Danio rerio: one gene and its partners. The protein of the gene in region 4 interacts with the protein of the main gene of each other region in a pairwise test. Links are inferred from orthologs where the notes say so. Each region holds a gene or a part of one and is shown on either strand. Other genes may lie near its edges. The genes, in order: pts, nudt14, gas7a, ntaq1 and gmds.

Evidence for each region.
Region 1: the proteins of ntaq1 (region 4) and pts interact in binary tests that used the Homo sapiens proteins (3 or more experiments, as listed by UniProt). The two-hybrid records come from large-scale screens. The link is inferred for Danio rerio from reciprocal best matches to the Homo sapiens genes NTAQ1 and PTS.
Region 2: the proteins of ntaq1 (region 4) and nudt14 interact in binary tests that used the Homo sapiens proteins (3 or more experiments, as listed by UniProt). The two-hybrid records come from large-scale screens. The link is inferred for Danio rerio from reciprocal best matches to the Homo sapiens genes NTAQ1 and NUDT14.
Region 3: the proteins of ntaq1 (region 4) and gas7a interact in binary tests that used the Homo sapiens proteins (3 or more experiments, as listed by UniProt). The two-hybrid records come from large-scale screens. The link is inferred for Danio rerio from reciprocal best matches to the Homo sapiens genes NTAQ1 and GAS7.
Region 5: the proteins of ntaq1 (region 4) and gmds interact in binary tests that used the Homo sapiens proteins (3 or more experiments, as listed by UniProt). The two-hybrid records come from large-scale screens. The link is inferred for Danio rerio from reciprocal best matches to the Homo sapiens genes NTAQ1 and GMDS.

Annotation. Positions count from the first base shown.
Region 1 is NC_133187.1:498,409-502,497, reverse strand, and holds the start of pts (6-pyruvoyl tetrahydrobiopterin synthase), read left to right. Parts: upstream 1-1,288; 5' UTR 1,289-1,381; coding exon 1,382-1,446; intron 1,447-2,379; coding exon 2,380-2,459; intron 2,460-2,566; coding exon 2,567-2,589; intron 2,590-2,675; coding exon 2,676-2,732; intron 2,733-3,798; coding exon 3,799-3,869; intron 3,870-3,957; coding exon 3,958-4,081; 3' UTR 4,082-4,089. UniProt on the Homo sapiens protein: Involved in the biosynthesis of tetrahydrobiopterin, an essential cofactor of aromatic amino acid hydroxylases. Catalyzes the transformation of 7,8-dihydroneopterin triphosphate into 6-pyruvoyl tetrahydropterin.
Region 2 is NC_133195.1:23,812,506-23,816,642, reverse strand, and holds the start of nudt14 (uridine diphosphate glucose pyrophosphatase NUDT14), read right to left. Parts: upstream 2,804-4,137; coding exon 2,723-2,803; intron 1-2,722. UniProt on the Homo sapiens protein: Hydrolyzes UDP-glucose to glucose 1-phosphate and UMP and ADP-ribose to ribose 5-phosphate and AMP. The physiological substrate is probably UDP-glucose. Poor activity on other substrates such as ADP-glucose, CDP-glucose, GDP-glucose and GDP-mannose.
Region 3 is NC_133178.1:51,516,325-51,519,840, reverse strand, and holds part of gas7a (growth arrest-specific protein 7a), read right to left. Parts: coding exon 3,511-3,516; intron 2,951-3,510; coding exon 2,819-2,950; intron 1-2,818. UniProt on the Homo sapiens protein: May play a role in promoting maturation and morphological differentiation of cerebellar neurons.
Region 4 is NC_133194.1:37,454,428-37,458,724, forward strand, and holds ntaq1 (protein N-terminal glutamine amidohydrolase), read left to right. Parts: upstream 1-1,489; coding exon 1,490-1,569; intron 1,570-1,649; coding exon 1,650-1,749; intron 1,750-2,922; coding exon 2,923-2,973; intron 2,974-3,053; coding exon 3,054-3,202; intron 3,203-3,627; coding exon 3,628-3,752; intron 3,753-3,838; coding exon 3,839-3,942; 3' UTR 3,943-3,958; downstream 3,959-4,297. Other genes in the region: psma2b (proteasome_alpha_type_2 domain-containing protein), read right to left, coding at 4,293-4,297. UniProt on the Homo sapiens protein: Mediates the side-chain deamidation of N-terminal glutamine residues to glutamate, an important step in N-end rule pathway of protein degradation.
Region 5 is NC_133195.1:29,424,512-29,427,550, reverse strand, and holds the end of gmds (GDP-mannose 4,6 dehydratase), read left to right. Parts: intron 1-1,874; coding exon 1,875-1,943; intron 1,944-2,028; coding exon 2,029-2,091; 3' UTR 2,092-2,536; downstream 2,537-3,039. UniProt on the Homo sapiens protein: Catalyzes the conversion of GDP-D-mannose to GDP-4-dehydro-6-deoxy-D-mannose.

The DNA of each region.
Region 1 (4,089 bases), on a different chromosome or scaffold from region 4:
ATATATAGTGAGAAACAGGGCCATGTACAGGGGGGTGGTCCTCACTTTGTGAACACATATAATAATGTTGATCTTAAAATGGTGTTAAAAATATGAATAACTGCTTTTATTCTAGCCGAAATAAAACAAATAAGACTCTCCTGAAGAACAAATATTATCAGACATACTGTGAACATCTTCTGAATATGTTCAATATCATTTGGGAAATATATATATATATATATATATATATATATATATATATATATATATATATATATATATATATATAATATATATATATATAATATATATAATATATATAATATATAAATAATATATATATATATATATATATATATATATATATATATATATATATATAATATATATATATATATATATATATATATATATATATATATATTTTTTTTTTTTTTTTTTTTTCATTATTAAATTTAACCTGCAGTTTTAAAATGAAAAATACAATTAAATAATACATTTTGAGGAACATTTTACAAATCACCACAAAGCCAGTCATTTTTAATATTTTTATTAATTGAATAAACCATTTCCCTTGACATTTGGTTTGTTAATATTTGTCTGAGATATGATTATTTCAAGATATATGGAATCCGAGGGTTAAAAAAAATCTAAATGTTGATCAAATCAACTTCATGATTGAACAAATGAAGCTCTTAGGAATGCATATTAGTAATGAAAAGTAAGTTTAGGTGTTTTTATGGTAGATAATGGAAGAAAACAAAGCATATAGCTGTCATCTGATGTATTCTGTGGAAACTGTTATAGAAATGTAAAATGCTTCATAATTAATTAAACATTATAAACAAATTGATCAAAAGTGATAGTAAAGACGTGTACACTATTTATCTATTCTCTTTTTTATATTGTTATATTTCACTTCACTAAATTATCAAGCAAAATTAAAACTCTTCTTGATTGTATAATAATTAAACACCAATACCTGTTCTTTTAGAGAGATTTCTGAGCTGATGCTGCTGAAAATACAGATTTAATGCTATTTTCTCATATATATTTAAATAGATCTTCATTTACAGAACATTACAGAGCTAAATATTGCTGATCAAGTAAATAAATGCATGATCAATAAACACACACACACACACGTATATGCATGTAAAACTGAATAATAACACTTTTGTCTGATCAGAGTGTGAGAAATGCAGAAAACACATGACGCTCGTGCACGTGGGGAGTGCTGACGTCACGGTATAATCGATTATGAGCTGCATATGAGGGGAGGATCCGCGAAGCCCCGCCTCCACTGAGCACAAATCATCAGAAATCATATATATAGATAGAAATATATATTCATATCTCGTGTTCAGTCGTAGATCTGCTGATAGAGGAGAGGAGGAGGATGAGTGAACGCGTCGCCTTCATCACGCGCGTCTGCAGCTTCAGCGCCTGCCACAGACTACACAGGTAATTAACTAACTAATCAATTAATTAACTAAATAACTAATCAGTAACTAGCCACCTGTAAACGGTCACTGAGGGATATTTTCAGCTGTAACGCTTTATATCTGCACGCTTTTGTCCGGCGCGTGCATGTGTGTGCGCGCGCTGTTTTTACTAATCTTATTCTTTGTATTTTCATGCTAACACACTTTCATGAGCACAACGTGAAATGTCGTACAACAGTTTTGCGTAAATTCGTTGATAATATTTCTACAAGCAGTCTGGATTGCGAAAAGTACTTGTTGCAGGAAGTCAGAAACACGCCTGCGTCAACAGGGAGGAATTCTGGGAAGTGTAGTTTAACGTGACCACGCGTAACAGTGATTTTCTTTCACTTTATTTCATCCTCTTTGATTAAACCTTCAAATAACAAACAAACTCTCATCTTCCATTGTTAAACATGTATTTACACACTACTGTATATCCAAGCAGCATATAATAAACTAAATAGTGCAATAAATAAAACATCGAATAATACTATAATGTAATTTACATTTCAGTAGGGGGTTAAGGCACTATTTTCTCTTTAAATGTGTCAAGGATTGAAATAAAAGTCAGAAATTATTTTTTAAATGTTGGAAACAAGGAGAAACTTTAACAAATCTAAACACTGAATTTACTAAAACATGATCTTTGTTACTGCTTATTTTTAGTCATTGATTTATTATTATTATTATTATTTTTATTATTATTATTATTATTATTATTATTATTAGCCCTATGAAATTATTTTTTTTTTTTTCATATATTTTGCAAGTGATCTTTAACAGATCATGTCGGTTTTCAGAGTATTTCCTATGTTTAGTTTGGCTGGAATGTGATGCATTGCTGTTGTTGTTGTTGTTGTTGTTGTTGTTGTTGTTGTTGTTGTTAATGCATTTATTGGATGTATTTCAGTAAATGTTTGAGTGATGAGGAGAATAAGAGAACGTTTGGGAAATGCAACAATCCTAATGGTCATGGCCATAACTATACAGGCGAGTTATTAAATATGTGCTATTAATTATGATCGCATTATCAGTGTCTCTCTTATGTCGTGCAAGAGCTCAAGTAAATCTCTTCATATGCTTCATTTCTGTTCTAGTTGAAGTGACGGTGCGTGGAAAGGTATGGCAGAACTGTCTATAAGCATATATGCAGTGCTCTGTGCTATAGTATTGTAAATGCACACGACTGTATTTCTGTTTTCATAGATCGACAAGAACACAGGAATGGTGATGAACCTCACTGATCTGAAGGAGTTTATTGAGGTACAGCCATCAGTTAATAATTAATATATTGATAAATGCTGTACAGGTCTTGTTCATTCTTATGTCATGTAATCGCATTAACTAATGAAACCTTAATGCAAAGTGTGACTGGAGAATTTTTTGCATGTAATCTACTGCTTATTAAATTTTAAATATAATTGTATACATACATACATATATATATATATATATATATATATATATATATATATATATATATATATATATATATATATATACACACTGTATAGAAAAATATACTTTTTAGAAGGGAAAATAGAATGTTTTTAAATGAAATGAGTCTTTTTTTTTTACACGTAACATATTTATTAATTAACAAATTATACCATGAATTGATTTTTGGCTATCAAAATAATAAGCATATTGAATCTATTTAATAAATTAAATGTAATAATAGTACTATTATTAATATTAACTATTATTAATATTACTATTATCAATAACTAATTCATAAAGGGTGACATGGTGGCTCAGTGGTTAGCACTGTGGCCTCACAGCAAGAAGGTCTCTGGTTTGAGTCTCGGCTGGGTCAGTTGGTGTTTCTGTGTGGAGTTTGCATGTTCTCCCCGTGTTGGTGTGGGTTTCCTCCGGGTGCTCCGGTTTCCCCCACAGTCTAAACACATGCGCTATAGGGGAACTGATCAACTAAACTGGCCGTTGTGTGTGTGTGTGTGTGTGTGTGTGTGTGTGTGTGTGTGTGTGTGTGTGTGTGTGTGTGTGTGTGTGTGTGTGTGTGTGTGTGTGTGTGTGTAAGTGTGTGTGTGAAAATGAGAATGAGAGTGTATGGGTGTTTCCCAGTGCTGGGTTGCAGCTGGAAGGGCATTTGCTGTGTAAAACATGTGCTGGAATAGTTGGTGGTTCATTCCGCTGTGGCGACTTCTGATTAATAAAGGGACTAAGCCAAAGGAAAATGAATAAATGAATGATTACCTATAATCAGGTATAGCAATAATGAGTGTGTATGGGTGTTTCCCAGTGCTGGGTTTATTTATACTAAAATAAATAATTAATAAAAATATTAATTAAATGTCAATAATGTGTTTAGGAGGCCGTCATGAAGCCTCTTGACCATAAAAACCTGGACCTGGATGTGCCGTATTTTGCAGATGTTGTCAGGTATGAATCTGCCCTGTGTGTGTGTTTGTGTGTTTGTGTGTGTGTGAGTGATTGATCAGAGACTCTGATGTTTGTTTGTGTCCCGCAGCACCACAGAGAACCTGTCAGTGTTCATCTGGGACGGCCTGCAGAAGCTGCTGCCTCACGACAGCCTGTACGAGATCAAAGTCTACGAGACGGCCAAAAACATCGTGATCTACAGAGGAGAATAGACTCAATT
Region 2 (4,137 bases), on a different chromosome or scaffold from region 4:
ATTTTTTTTTGTGTGGGCTGATGCGTTTACTGCGTTTGTATACAAGTGATGGTAATTTTTTTTTATCAGTTTACAACTTGCAAAGACCTTATAAAAAGTGTGGAAGTCAAAAACAACACCAAAACCTCCTGTGACATAAACTAAGAACACTTTTAAAACGTAATGTGCAATTCTAAGGTCTACCAAATGACTCAAAAAAACATAAATTAGTTTGGGGATGATTGCAAACATCTGATTGGTCAGTGCTGCTGCACTCCAAACAATGCTGAACTAAACCTTGAGAAATGGTAAATGTTCAATGTTTAGCAACATTCTGCTATATTAAATACTACAAGAGCTGAAATATGTCTCGCAAATTTATATACTCACAATTAATCACATCATTTTTAAGAAAATACACCAATGAATTGCAAGGTTTGTTAACGCATTATTAAAATAGTTTTGTTAGTGCTCTGTGAGTTACCAAACTTTAAAAAATATTAATCATTCATTCATTCATTATCTTTTCAGCACCTTTTTTTTATCTTTCCACAGCGGAATGAACCGTCAACTTATTCAGCATTTGTTTTATGCAGCGGATGCGCTTCCAGCAGCAACCCATTACTGGGAAAACAAATATCAATAAATACTGTAATAAAGTAAATTTTTGTTCATGGTATTATTAAATAATGCATTAACTAACTTTATTAATCTAACCTTATCGATTTAATAACTAATTTAATCAAATTAAATATAAAACCAAAGCTGTGTCACTGCCAGGGCATGTAGTGATCATTACATCAGTGTCACGCATCTACCGCAAACCAGAGCAATTCACCTTAGTCGAATATTTTACACAAGTACTGTATAATAAAGATGTGAAGCATCTTGCAAAAAGAATTGAAGATGTTATAGCTGGGCAGGGTTGTCCACCTCCATATTAAACACTACAGATTAAGATTAGGATGTCATTAAACGTGCAGCATGTAAAATGGATCCAAATGGTTAAACCAAGTATTGTAGTCCAAAATCAAAACACTTTTTTACCCTGTCCCACCTCCAGACGCAGGATACCAGATTGAAGTCAGGAGTGACTGTGCCTGACTATTGGGCCTACACTGTAACTACAGACGACTTCATGCGATAAAATGAATCTTTTTCAATGTTAAAAGGAGTTTTCATAATACCCATGACCTGATATTTTTATTCTACAAAGGGTTTCTGGGTCTATTCTTCGTAGCCAAAATAAACACCATAAAACTACCATGACAATGATCACCTCTGGTACTGATAATTTGCTTTATTTAATGTTAATGCTACCAGTGTGAGTTTAAATGCCATTTTATATGACATGTATATCCATAATGAAAAAGCCATATAGTTTACCTTAAATTTTAAAATTAAAAATAAACATATAACTTTAAAATAGCTTTAAAATAAATGTTAGAACTGCATCTCAGTGAAAACCAACAAATATGAGTCAAATATCGGTGCTAAAGTTAAACTGGCAGAGGGCAAGTTATAGAGGCCAAAAGCACATTCTGCAATTTTACAATGCAGAATAAATGACATTTAGTATTGTTTTTCATATAAACAAGTGTGTTACCTCGGCATGTTTCTAAAATATTGGCCAACTTATGCTTAAGAGGAGTCAAAAACTTACATTCAGCTTGTTTAATGATAGACATGGCTTTTGAGCATTCCAGTGTCCGTGTATAAGCAACAAGCAGCATAGCAACTGTCATTGTAACCAATTTACTATGGTTCCTAAAATATGTTAGAGGCTAGTGCATGAATTTTAAACATTGATCAAAAATGACTCACTAGACCTACCTGTGCATTAAACAATTTGAACAAGACTATGAAATAAATAGACAGCATATACTGTATGGCCAAAAATACACTGTATGGGTAAAAATTTCAGACTTTTTTTAAGCCAGACGTCATTAGATTATGTAGAGATCATGTTCCATGAGCATATTTTGTAAATGAACTGTCATAAATACAGCTAAATACTATATTTGACTGTCACTGTCCCACAAGCCAAAACTTTTAGCTAATATTTAATAGAAAATAAACAAAATTGAAGTGAACTTAAAATTATCATGATAATAATTATATATATATAAAAGTTAAAAAGCCTTGTAATAACCCCCAATAATACTTGTGTTTTTTCAATATTTCAATAAGAGCCATATAAAGGGTTAAGCGGATGAAGTACTAAAATCACATATAGAATTACTATTTTTGGTTATTAGATAGATAGATAGATAGATAGATAGATAGATAGATAGATAGATAGATAGATAGATAGATAGATAGATAGATAGATAATAACTTAGCTTGTCCACTAGCATGTATATATCAGGATAGTATATCATTACTTTGCAGCAGTAGCTGTGCAATATTGTGTGCATCAGGCTTTTAATAAAGCCTTTGTATGGCAGCTGTGCTGGTTTTAATGTAAAGCATGTGCTCGAGGGAAAGTGACTGCCTTCCTGTCTATAGCTAAATAGCATCTTGCTAGTTAAGCTAAGATCACAAAACACGATATCAGCAACATATTCTTTTCAATACATCGTTTGTCATCCTGATGTTATAGTCATGGTGAAACATCAGACGCAATGTTGGTCGATAAAAGCAATGACAGAATGAATGGGGGTTGGGCTGCTGACAGCAAAATGATGAGGTGTGACCGCATCACTGACAGATGATAACGTGCGATGAAACTATAGCGACTCACCTGGTTATAATGCACCCTAAACGGTCTCAAATAGTTCGAGCTGGTGCACGGAACCACCTGAATGTTATTGATCTGCTCCATGGCTTTGACAAAGCTGCCCACGGGTACTTCTCACCACAGATGGCAGAGCCGCAGACTACTGGAGAATGAGGGAAACGTCTACGGAAGCCTGGGAAGGACAGAATAAGAGCGCTGTTCGTCTTTGCGTTGTAGTAATGTTCTACAGAGATGACTCTGTGGGCTGCGGCGCAGAAAACCGCCAGTCAGCGTTAGTTGCGGGTGGATGAGGTCATTCGCTTTCTCATTTGATTTAAGGTTAAATGACGGACTCTGTCGCCTCAGCACGTCCTCTTTCAAGCTTTACAGCGCGCGCGCCTGACGCGCGAATGCAGGTGTGCTTGACTCGTGCTGACTGAACCTCAGATTTAGCGCCAACTTCAGGGAGCGCGCGATTTTGTAAATAAACCGCCAAAAGCCCTACATTTAGTAACTTTCTGTAAATCTTTACAGAGACTTTCAGGGCTAGTGAATTATTAATTTTACCCAGCATCTTCTTCTAGGATAAATGTATCATCTTGTGTTATTGTAGATAAAATGACAACTGATCCGAAAAATAATCGATTTAGCTCTTCTAACATTGATAAAATGTGGCCTTAAAGTGAATATACTGTCTGTCTGTGTGTTCATATAAGCACAATAAAGCGGAATTAGTTCACATCCACACGTGGTTTAATTCACACACATCCTATTCCTAGCATGACAAACTTAATCTTTGCTGTTTCAGTACTATATAGAAAAAATGCACCAAAATGCAAAAATCATACTACTTTTATACTTTGCAGTACATTCCATTCAAAACTCAGCCTTTCTGTCTTGCAACTTACATGTTTCATCCTCATTTTCTGTCTTTCACTCCACGATTGCAAAGTAAATCTTTATGCTTATCTGATTCCCTTAAAGCATTTGTGATCTACGAGGAACCATCTAAACATATGGTTTCAATGTAGTTTAGAGAAAACAGAAGAATATATTTGACACTGATGTTTTAAGAATCCCAAAGGTAAGCTGTAAGCATCAGGATGGGTGCAGGTTTCTTATCTGACCTTATGCTTTTGCTAACGTCTCATACAAACCAGCTGAAGAAGCTTATCCCCTCTTCCTTGAGACATCTTTACTTATTCTTTTCCTTCAATAGTTAAGCCTTAGTAAACAGTGACATATGAGGTAGCAACTCTGAAGGACACTTAAAATGGTTCAGCTGTATGTTTAAACTGTTTACAACAGTGTCTTGAGAGCTGGGGATGTTTGTGAGTTACCTTTTCTTTACAAGCACTGAAAGTGCAAAACTGTCACCTCTATATGTAGGGTAACAATTTTTTTCTGCGAATACAGCTTTCACACTCAGAAATGACATC
Region 3 (3,516 bases), on a different chromosome or scaffold from region 4:
AACTTTTGGCTGCTAGGTTCAACTTATTCAAAAAAATTAATTACTTAATTCTTATTAATAGGATCCAAAAATTAGTATTTTAAGCTCCTTTTATAGATTATGTGCTAAATACACATACACTCAAAAAATGATATGTTGGCTTTAATTAACTTTTTTATGTCAACAGGTTCCACATAACCGAGTTAAGTTACCCTAAAGAAAGAATATTTATTTGAGTAAACTTAAGTTAGTTACCTAAAAGTAATGTAATGTTGTTTAGTTCAATCAACACAACATTTATAATTTAGCTTTAATTTAATTTTTTTACACTGTTAAAAAAAAAAATCTGTTAAAATTACAAAATATCCCGGCAGTGGTTGACAGGAAATTTCTGTAAAAATACGGAAGTTTTATAGGACTGTTTAAATTTACAAAAAATAACCTTATTTTATCAACTGATATAATGTTCGTTCACAAAAACCTAGTTTAGCTCATAAAAACGTAAAGTCATTTAATGCACTAATGTGTTCATGTGTGTACAATTAGCAAACAGATCTTCACTGCCTTAGTAACTACACAGTTACCCACAGTTACCTATCAGCTATCCTTAGTTAATTTTGAACTTGCACACAGATGCTACTATCCTCCACAATGGTGATATGAATTTGTCGACCCCTGGGGGTTAACTAACTATTATTCCTATCCATCCCACACGACCTTTCCCCTTAGCTGTACCCCACCCTTGACCCTTAACAAAGTCTTAAAAAAAAACCTCCAGCCCAAGGCTGCACCTTGAAATTCTGTCCATAAAAATTATTAGCAGAATTGGTGACAAGGGGCAGCCCTGCCGGAGTCCAACATGCACTGGAAACAAATCTGACTTATTCCCGGCAATGTGAACCAGACTCCTACTCTGTTCATACAGGGACGAGACATCCATTAACAAATCGCCTCTGACCCCATACTCCCCGAGCACCCTCAACAGAATGCCGCGAGAGACACTATCGAATGCCTTCTCCAAATCCACAAAACACATGTGGACTGGTTGAGCATACTCCCATGAACCCTCGAGCACCCTGGTGAGGGTATTGAGCTGGTCCAGTGTACCACAGCCCTGACGAAAACCGCAATTTTCCTCCTGGATCCTAGATTCAACCATTGGCCGGATCCTCCTCTCCAGTACCCTGGCATAGACTTTCCCCGGGAGGCTGAGGAGTGTGATCCCCCTATAGTTGGAGCACACCCTCTGGTCCCCCTTCTTAAAAATGGGAACCACCACCCCAGTTGCCCAGTCCAAAGGTACTGTCCCCGACCTCCATAAATGCTGTAAAGACGTGTCAGCAACGACAGCCCCACAACATCCAGAGACCTAAGAGACACAGGGTGAATCTCATCCACCCCCGCTGCTTTGCCACTGCGGAGCTTGCAAACCACCTTGGGTGATGGGCAAGTCCACCCCTGCATCCCCAGTCTCTGCTTCCTTGATGAAACACATATTGGTGGGGTTAAGAAGATCCTCAAAGTATTCCTTCCACGGCCCGACAACATCCCCAGTTGATGTCAACAGCTCCCCACTTCCGCTGTAAACAGCATCAATGTGGAGATGCTTTCCCCCCAACCAAGCCCTGTAGGACTCCTTTTTCAGCTTGACGGCATCCCTTACTTCAATTGTCCACCACTGGCTTCGTGGATTGCCGCCCCGACAGGCACCACAGACCTTACGACCACAGCTCCTCACGGCCGCATTAACAATAGAGTCGGAGAACATGGACCACTCAGTCTCCATGTCTCCAGCCTCCCTCGGGATCTAGTCAAAGCTCTTCCGGAGGTGAGAATAAACAATCCCTCTGACTTGGGGTTCAGCAAGACGTTACCAGAGGACCCTCACAATACGCTTGGGCCTACCAGATCTGTCCAGCTTTCCCCCTTGCCAGCGGATCCAACTCACTACCAGGTGATGATCAGTTGACAGCTCTGCCCCTCTCTTCACCCGAGTGTCTAATACATACGGTCGGAGATCAGACGATACAACCACAAAGTCGATCATTGACCTCCGCCCTAGGGTGTCCTGGTGCCATGTGCACTGATGGATACCCTTATGCTTGAACATGGTGTCTGTTATAGACAAACTGTGATTAGCACAGAAGTCCAATAACAAAACACCACGTCTCTCCAGGTATCACTGTCATTACCCACGTGGGCATTAAAGTCCCCCAGTGGAACAATGGAGTCCTCAGTCTGGGCACCTCCCAAGGACTCCAAGAAGGCCGAGTACTCTGCACTGGTGTTTGACCCGTAGGCACATACCACAGTGAGAGACCTATACCCGACCCGAAGGCACAGGGAGGCGACCCTCTCGTTCACAGGGGAAAACGCCAACACATGGCGGCTAAGTTGGGGAGCCATAAGCAAGCCCACACCATCCCGCCGCCTCTTGCCGTGAGCAACTCCAGGATAGAAGAAAGTCAAGCCATTCTCAAGAAGTTGAGTTCCAGAGCCCAAGCTATGTGTGGAGGTGAGCCCTAGTCAGTATCGTTCCACCTCCCGCACAAGCTCGGGCTCCTTCCCTCCCAGTGAGGTGACATTCCATGTCCGAAGAGCAAGTTTCTGTGCCTGACAATCGGGTTGTCGTGTTCCTAACCTTCGACCACCACCCATTCCACAATGCACTGCCCCCTTACGGCTCCCTCCTGCAGGTGGTGAGCCTGCGGGAGGATGGTAAAACAGTAGTTGTGTATTTAAATATATTTGAAACTGCTGCTACGACATTAGTAATTAACACAATTAAGCACACTTCTTTTTCGCAGGGGTTTAATCAAGACATCCAGAGAGACTGTACCTTCTCCACTGCAGCGTATCGGCTGACCAGCTGCTTTCTCAGGTCAGCAATGTGGTGGTCATATTTCTTCATGTCTTTTTTAAAGTTGTCTCCTCTGAAAGTTAATAAAGGCTTCTCCACTTCACTCTGGAGCTGGAGGCAAAAAATAATAATCTAAATCAGTCACACAGCTACAGTACATGGCATGTCTAGATACAAACATAGCGAAGTGTCTGAAATAAACCATGGGGTTTCTCCAAAACGTCATTTACTTCATTTGGATGCTCAAAATTGTCATGTTAGTAATAATGATGTTTTTTTTTTTTTTTTTTTTAAGAAAGAGGCTTTTTGTATTGCCATCTTAGTAAATCATACATGATCTGAGAGAATAATACTGCAGAATCACTTCCATCTATCTGCAATTAATCACCCACACTTGTGCTAAATGGAGCACACTAGTGTGAACAGTGGTGAAAATAGACAAATGACAGCAGACTGAAGAAAGCAGTGTAGTTCATTACAAACAGGTGGCTTATAACATCTCTTAGGGAAAGCTATTGAGTGCAGAAAAAAAATAAAGGCCAGATATCCTCCATCTTCTCTGACAGTGCACAACAATGACAATGCACAATGAGCTGTTTGTTTCTCAGCTGGTTCTCACTACACATCACTTCTATTAAGAAATGTCAAAGAGATAATTGAAAACTGCACACCTTTGA
Region 4 (4,297 bases):
AAGTTTATTTAACGAAGAGAAATAGCTTAAAATTTTGGCACCCACATAAAAATAACAAAAGTGGTTTTATATTAAGCAAGTAAAATGCAAGTAGGGTGTATTCTTCACTATTTGGTGTTACTAATGTTAAGTGAAATTGGTTGTGCATTTTTTATTATTTTTTTGCATAAGAAAAGTGTCTATGTTTACACTATGTTAAGTACACAAAGCATTACAGTCAAATAGAAAGAAAGATCATTTTATTAAAAAGTAACAAAAATAAAGTGCAATTTCAACTATTTTATTCGTGGTTTTTCCAGTTCACCAGCTCTCAAATCAGTGGGTCCACAAGTGCTAATGAGATCATTAGTAAAAGACATTCCTAAAAACGAGGTGTTAATGGTGGGCTTTTTCTGATGGCTACACCTCAAAACATAGGTGGCCCTATACATCTTGTTAAAAGAATATGGTTAATATTTGTTGGTTTAGCTTACTTTATAACATCATAAGTATTTGAATGTTATCAAATTTCATTTTAAACAAACACGTTAGCAAATAGTGGATTCTTAAACGGTAAAAGTGTAAAGAGCTGTTTATTTGTGGCTCAGAAATGGGGATTTAGCCTATGAAAACAATAAAAAGTGTAATAAAACAGTTGTACAAGTAAATAAATACATCTCTCAGAATGTGATATATTTAATCCAAAAAAATATTTACCTTATTTTACAAAAGACATCTTGTACGCATATATATTTAGAACATTTTGTGGCTTTTTATGACCAAAGCAAGTGTGAACCAAGACAACTTTTGACAAGACTACATAGTTATTCATTTAGACTATGTGCTAACCTCCTTAATATTAACTCATACTGTGGTTTTGGTAGACAATTTGAATGGACTGATAGTTTGAAACATATTGTCAGGACTCTATAATGAGTGAACATGTATAGAGAAATGAAAGGGTTTGAGATAAACATGCATTAGAAACAGAAACACATTTTCAGTTTAAAACAAAATATAGTTCACAAAAAAAATTTATAGATATCCACAAACATTTATACAAGTATGTGGCAAAAAACGAATTAACGTGCAACAAAATACAATCAGATACTCTGAAATTAGAAACCAATACATTGGCTAATTGTATTGAGTTGAGAACGATGCCTAACTGCACGTTATCTTTCGCTAACGTGTTTTCTACTTATGCTTTATGAAAGTTAGACTGTTTAATATTTATGCTGATAATCGTGCAAGTGCTACATTTGCAATTCACATAAGGAGTGAATGTTCGCGCATCACCTGTCTCGCCGGAACGACAAATCCCCTGAAGTTCCTTACGGACAAGATACATTGTAACAAGCAACAGTGCGGTTGCAACGCGAATCGCTTCATTGTAATATTAATGTAAATATCTATGGTATCATTATACACATGTATTCTTTTGTCATGTCGTTATAACTGGAAGTCCGCGTAAACCTACTGTATATACACGTATATAAGGAAGGAAAGAATGAATGAAGAAAGCGCTTCGTCTGAATATAAAGTGATCACCCCGTCCGGAAACCAATGTGTTTACACCAGCTGTTACTGGTAAATGCGATAATACCTGTAACATTATTTCAAATTTAAAACGTACCGTATTCATACACGTATTTAAATGTTTGTTGCAGTGAGGAGAATGTGTGGAAATTGTGTGAATATATCAAGAATCAGAGACATTGTCCTTTGGAAGAGGTGTATGCAGTATTTATATCTAATGAAAGAAAGAAGGTGAGCTTCATCTCCACACAAGTATTTTACATTTAATGAAATGTACAGTTTTCTGTTATATACATACATACACACACACACACACACACACACACACACACATACATATATATATATATATATATATATATATGTATATATATATATATATATATATATATATATACATATATACACACACACACACACACACACACACGTATACAGTCACCGGTCACTTTATTAGGTACAGCTTTCCAACTGCTGCTCAACGCAAAAATAAGCCAATCACATGGCAGCAACTCAATGCATTTAGGCATGTAGACATGGTCAAGACGATCAGCTGCAGTTCAAACCAAGCATAAGAATGGGAAAGAAAGGTGATTCCAGTAACTTTGAACCTCGAACCTTGAGGAGATGGGCTACAGCAGCAGAAGACCACATGGGTGCCACTCTTGTCAGCAAAGACCAGGAAACTGAGGCTACATTTCACACTGGCTCACCAAAATTGAACAATAGAAGATTGGAAAAGCGTTGTCTGGTCTGATAAGTCTCAATTTCTGCTGCAACATTCGGATGGTAGGGTAAGAATTTAGCGTCAGCAACATGAAAGCATGAATCCATCCTGCCTTGTATCAACGGTTCAGGTGGTGGTAGTGTAATGGCATGGGGGGTATTTTCTTGGCACACATTGGGCCCATTAGTACCAATTAAGCATTGTGTCAACGCCACAGCCTACCTGAGTATTGTTGCTGGCCATGTCCATGCCTTTATGACCAGTGTACCCATCTTCTGATGGCTACTTCCAGCAGGATAACGCACCATGTCATAAAACGCAAATCATCTCAGACTGGTTTGTAAAACATGACATGAAGTTCTGTAATCAAATGACTTCCACAGTCACCGGCTCTCAATTCAGTAGAGCACCTTTGGGATGTGGTGGAATGAGAGAATCGCATCACGGATGTGCAGCCAACAAATCCACAGCAACTGTGTAATGCTATCATGTGAATATGAACCAAAATCTCTTGAGGAATATTTCCAGTACCTTGTTGAATCTATGCCACAAAGGATTAAGGCAGTTCTAAAGACAAAAGAGGGTCCAACCCGGTACTAGTAAGGTGTGCCAAACAAAAGGGGCCAATGAGTGTATATATAGTATGTATGTGTGTTAAAAATTGTGTAATATTTCAGATACCTATTTGGAAACAAAAGTCCAGTCGAGGGGATGAACCAGTAATTTGGGTAGGAACTTTATATGTATAAAAACTATGCATATTTTATGGTAGTCTCTAATTGATATAAAAATGTTGTTTTCCATTTAGGATTACCATGTTATTCTTCTACACGCAAGTAAACAAGGACCGAGCTTCATTTACGATTTAGACACCATTCTTCCATTTCCTTGTTCGCTTGACGTTTATTCAATGGAGGCCTTTCAGTCTGACAAGCATTTGAAACCTGCTTACTGGAGGCAAGTATTATCTGGTCTAATCTGCATTCTACAAAAGATGAAATAACATAAGTGTAACAAGTACTTAATAAATTTATAAAAGAAAAGCACATCATAAAATGTGAGGACAAAATTGAATGAAGATTTTAATATGAATTAGTATTTTGAGGCTGCATTGTTATCCATTTAGTATGGCCTCACATTATTCTTGTTTTAAATATAACTTAGTATTTTAAACTACTGTTACACTTAACTACATTTTAGAGGTCATCTTATGTAAATTGTGGTGATGGACAATAGTCAATTAATTTACTTTTGCATTAAATAATATTATTTTTATATATATATTTTTTAACAAATGCTTAAACTCCTTTATGTCTTTGACCCTTATAATAATAATAGCCAGTCTTAGTTGAATGTAATCAAAGTGTTGTTTGCTCTTTTAGGAAACTTCGAGTCATACCCGGGGACACTTATTTGAAGGAGTTTGCTTCTGATCGGTCTCATATGAAGGACTCCGATGGGAATTGGCGTATGCCACCTCCAGCATATCCATGTTTAGAGACACCAGGTTTGTTTTCTATTGCAGATTTATATACAGTAAATACTATAATTTGATTTCTTCTTCCACTTTCATGTATAACGTGTCCTTTTCAGAATCCAAAATGAATCTTGATGACTTCATCTGCATGGATCCCCGAGTGGGATATGGAGAGGTTTACAGCCTTTCAGACTTTGTTAAACACTTTGGAGTAAAGTAATGCTTTTTTTCCAGCACATTTTTTGTTGTTGTTGTTGAAAAATGTACATAAACAGAGCCTCAGGGAAAGATCCTATTATGATGGAGAATGCTGCAACTAAGCAGGCCTCAAAAGACACATTTATTGACTCTGAAATTATTTTTACTAATTGAACAGTTGGCAATGTGGCTTAATTATAGTCAGGTAGAAAGGTCACAGAAAAGAAAGCCATTGTTGTCATTTGTCGAGGATGTGTATTATTTTTATAAAGAAATCAGTTACACAGATGTACAGATAATAAAAATGCAGAATTTAAACAAACAACCAAACCGAAATGCGAAACTGTGTAAGCAGTTGTAGTGCTGTAGTTTTTAAG
Region 5 (3,039 bases), on a different chromosome or scaffold from region 4:
ACCAATTTGTACAGTGCTCAGCATATATAAGTCCACCCCTCACAAATCTGTCTTTTGAATTCATATTTTTAATAGGAAGCTTTACAATATTATATTTCTGCATATACATTAGATTAGTCAGTACTGAAGCCAAATCTGGAGTTTATTTAACAAAATAACTTGCGATAATAGTCTAAAAACTAGTACACCCAAATTTATAGAAAAATATTAAAAATATTTAATGCAAATTTGAAAAAAGCTGAAAAATCAAGAAAAGCAAAAATTAGAAAACATTTAGTTGAAATGTTGTAGTTTGTATTTTTTTCCCAATATTTCACATGAATATGTGGTTAAAATATTATTTGAATAAATATATCTGTTTAATAAATGTGTTTTGTTTGAATGCACCCAAAATATATCACTTATATTCACTAAGCAATGGAGGAAAATATTCATTTTCAAAATAAGGTGTACTTATTCATACTGAGCACTGTACATGTTTACGAACAATATGGATATTTTGTTTGTGGATCAGGACACACTGCTTTTGTGGATTTGACCTCTTGACTTCTGTCCGACAATAGAGCACAGGACCATTGACCTGTTTATATGTGTGTGTATAGTATACAAAACAGCATGCTTAAATTGGTTTTATGTATACACTGCATATGATACATGCATGTAGTGTATTTTCAGTCTTGTGTAATCAAGACGCGAGTTCTTAAAAAAAAAAAAACAGCTTGACGTATGTCTAGGTCTGTCTTTCCAGTAGTCCTGAATTCCTTTAGGTTAAGTGCACAGTCACACACAATAAAAATACACCCATATGAAGATTATCGCTTTTTTATATTGTTTATCTTCATTTTATTTACTATTTATGCTGGTGCGACTTCTGTTTTAAACCCTCAGATGTATAGAACTACTTTAAACAAGCAGTGTCTGAAACCAAAATCCTCCTGTAACCTTCCACTGTGCAATTGATATGTCTTGACTTGCTGACTTTCTATTTAATAGCAACAAGCACTGATTCTCCAGCACACGCAATCCTCACCGCATTAATACCATTCTAGCTTACTTCCATTGTCGGGACGCAGTTTTGCATGTGAAGCCTTGGATGGGCGACAAATGCAGCTGATGCTAATTTAGCTTTCAAAAAAGTGAAGACTAATTATGATTAATCTGCCGCATTAATACGTGTCTTGATTATGATGGTTGCATGCCATTTCGCATGTTGATGAATGAATGCTATTTGGCTAATTAGGCTTTAAAATATGGTTATGTCATTTAAATGATTTAATTGGAGCTAAAATGGAACCATGACTGTAACGTCTCAGGGTTCAGAATTAAAATATGGGCCCTTGGAACAAGAGCGCTCATTTGTCAAAACACAAAAGTGCTGTTGTAAATGCACATGTGTGTGTGTGTGTGTGTGTTCTGGCTTCTTGTGTAATCAGATCAGCAGCAAGGACACCCTCGAAACCCTTTACTGCCACCCTGAGAAGCACCTCTAGCTGCACAAGTGTGTGTGTGCGTGTGCGTGTGTGTGTGTGTGTGTGTTTGTGTGTGTGTGTGTTAGCGTCCCAGCAGGAGAACAGAAAGGGTTAGGCCACGAGAGTCACATAATCCATCATGCTCTGGCATTGGGAGAGGGCTGGAAAAGAGGGGGTCCTGGATGGATAGCCTGCCTCGGCCCTCACCTTCCCCCAGAGACATGGAGCTTGACACCTGTGTGTGTGGGTTGTGTGTGTGTGAGAGAGAGAAAGAGAAGAAGAAGAGTTGGGAGGTCCGGCTTAATAAAGAACTTAACCACCCCTTTGCCTTTTTTCTTCTTCGTCATTGTTTTTTTTCTCTCACTCTCTCCCCGCCACTCACTCTCATTTTCTCTCTTTTTCTAGGACTACTTGCAGGGAGACAGTTCCAAAGCCTTTAAGGTTCTAGGCTGGAAACCACGTGTAACATTTGAGGTGAGCGTTTCTGTATGAAATCAAAGCGCTTCACTTCCAATGCTCTCGAGATTGAGAAATAATCAGTGCTTGTGTGTTTCAACAGGAGCTTGTTAAAGAAATGGTGGACGCGGACATCAAGCTCATGCAGAACAACCCAAATGCCTGAACCCACACGCCTTCATCTCCACGCATGCCAAAGAGGCGCTTGTTTTGTGTTTGTGTAGCCAATGGAAGAAGCACTCAAATGCATTTCTGTTGCTCCGTCTGTCATTTTCTCTTCTGATAACACTTTCCCTGTGTTCTTAGGGTCCTTGGTTGTTGCCTTTTTACATTTTTAAATACTTTAATATTTATGATTGTGTGTTTGGATACTTAGTTGATTCTGTTGAAATGATTTTTATTCATTTTTATAAAGTGGTTTTTATTTGTAATCATGGAAAAAAGTATAAATAAGGGATAAAGGGTTTGTAGAGCTTTTTAAAGTTCTCTAATGCCGTTTAATTCATGTGATTGTTTGAATGGAAATAATGTCATTAATTGGTTTGAAAACGTTTTAAAAAAGTCTCCTGTTCCTATTTAAGATTCAAATACAGAATATGAAGTTCTTTCAAGTGTGTGTGTGTGTGTGTGTTTTACTGTGTTTTCAATGCATTTCAGTGTTGGTTTTGACCTCTGTTGTTTAATAATGTGGTATTTGTGCTGGCACTGGTAATTCTATATATATTTTTCAAAACTATTTTACTATACTACATTACATTATAAGAAGATGGAATGATGCTCTTGTTTTATAGGTTTTTTAAACATAGCAATTTAGTATGTGATAACAGTCAATTTATAATGTTTTTTTTAAGCATTGTTTTAATTATTTACTCATGTATTTGAATTAGGCTAAACACATAGACTAGTAATGCTGACTCAGTAGGCTAAAAACAAAAGATTTGCAAGTTTTTCAAAAATGCTGGACTGTTTCAAACAAATTCAAAGGTTGGGCTACATTTTTTATTTATTTTGATTCAGATTTAACTCAAGAGTTGGATTATTCCATATTTGAACCCAATTTGGGTGGATCCATTTTTGAACTAGGTGTTTTGCAGTCAGTCACCGCGCCTGCGCC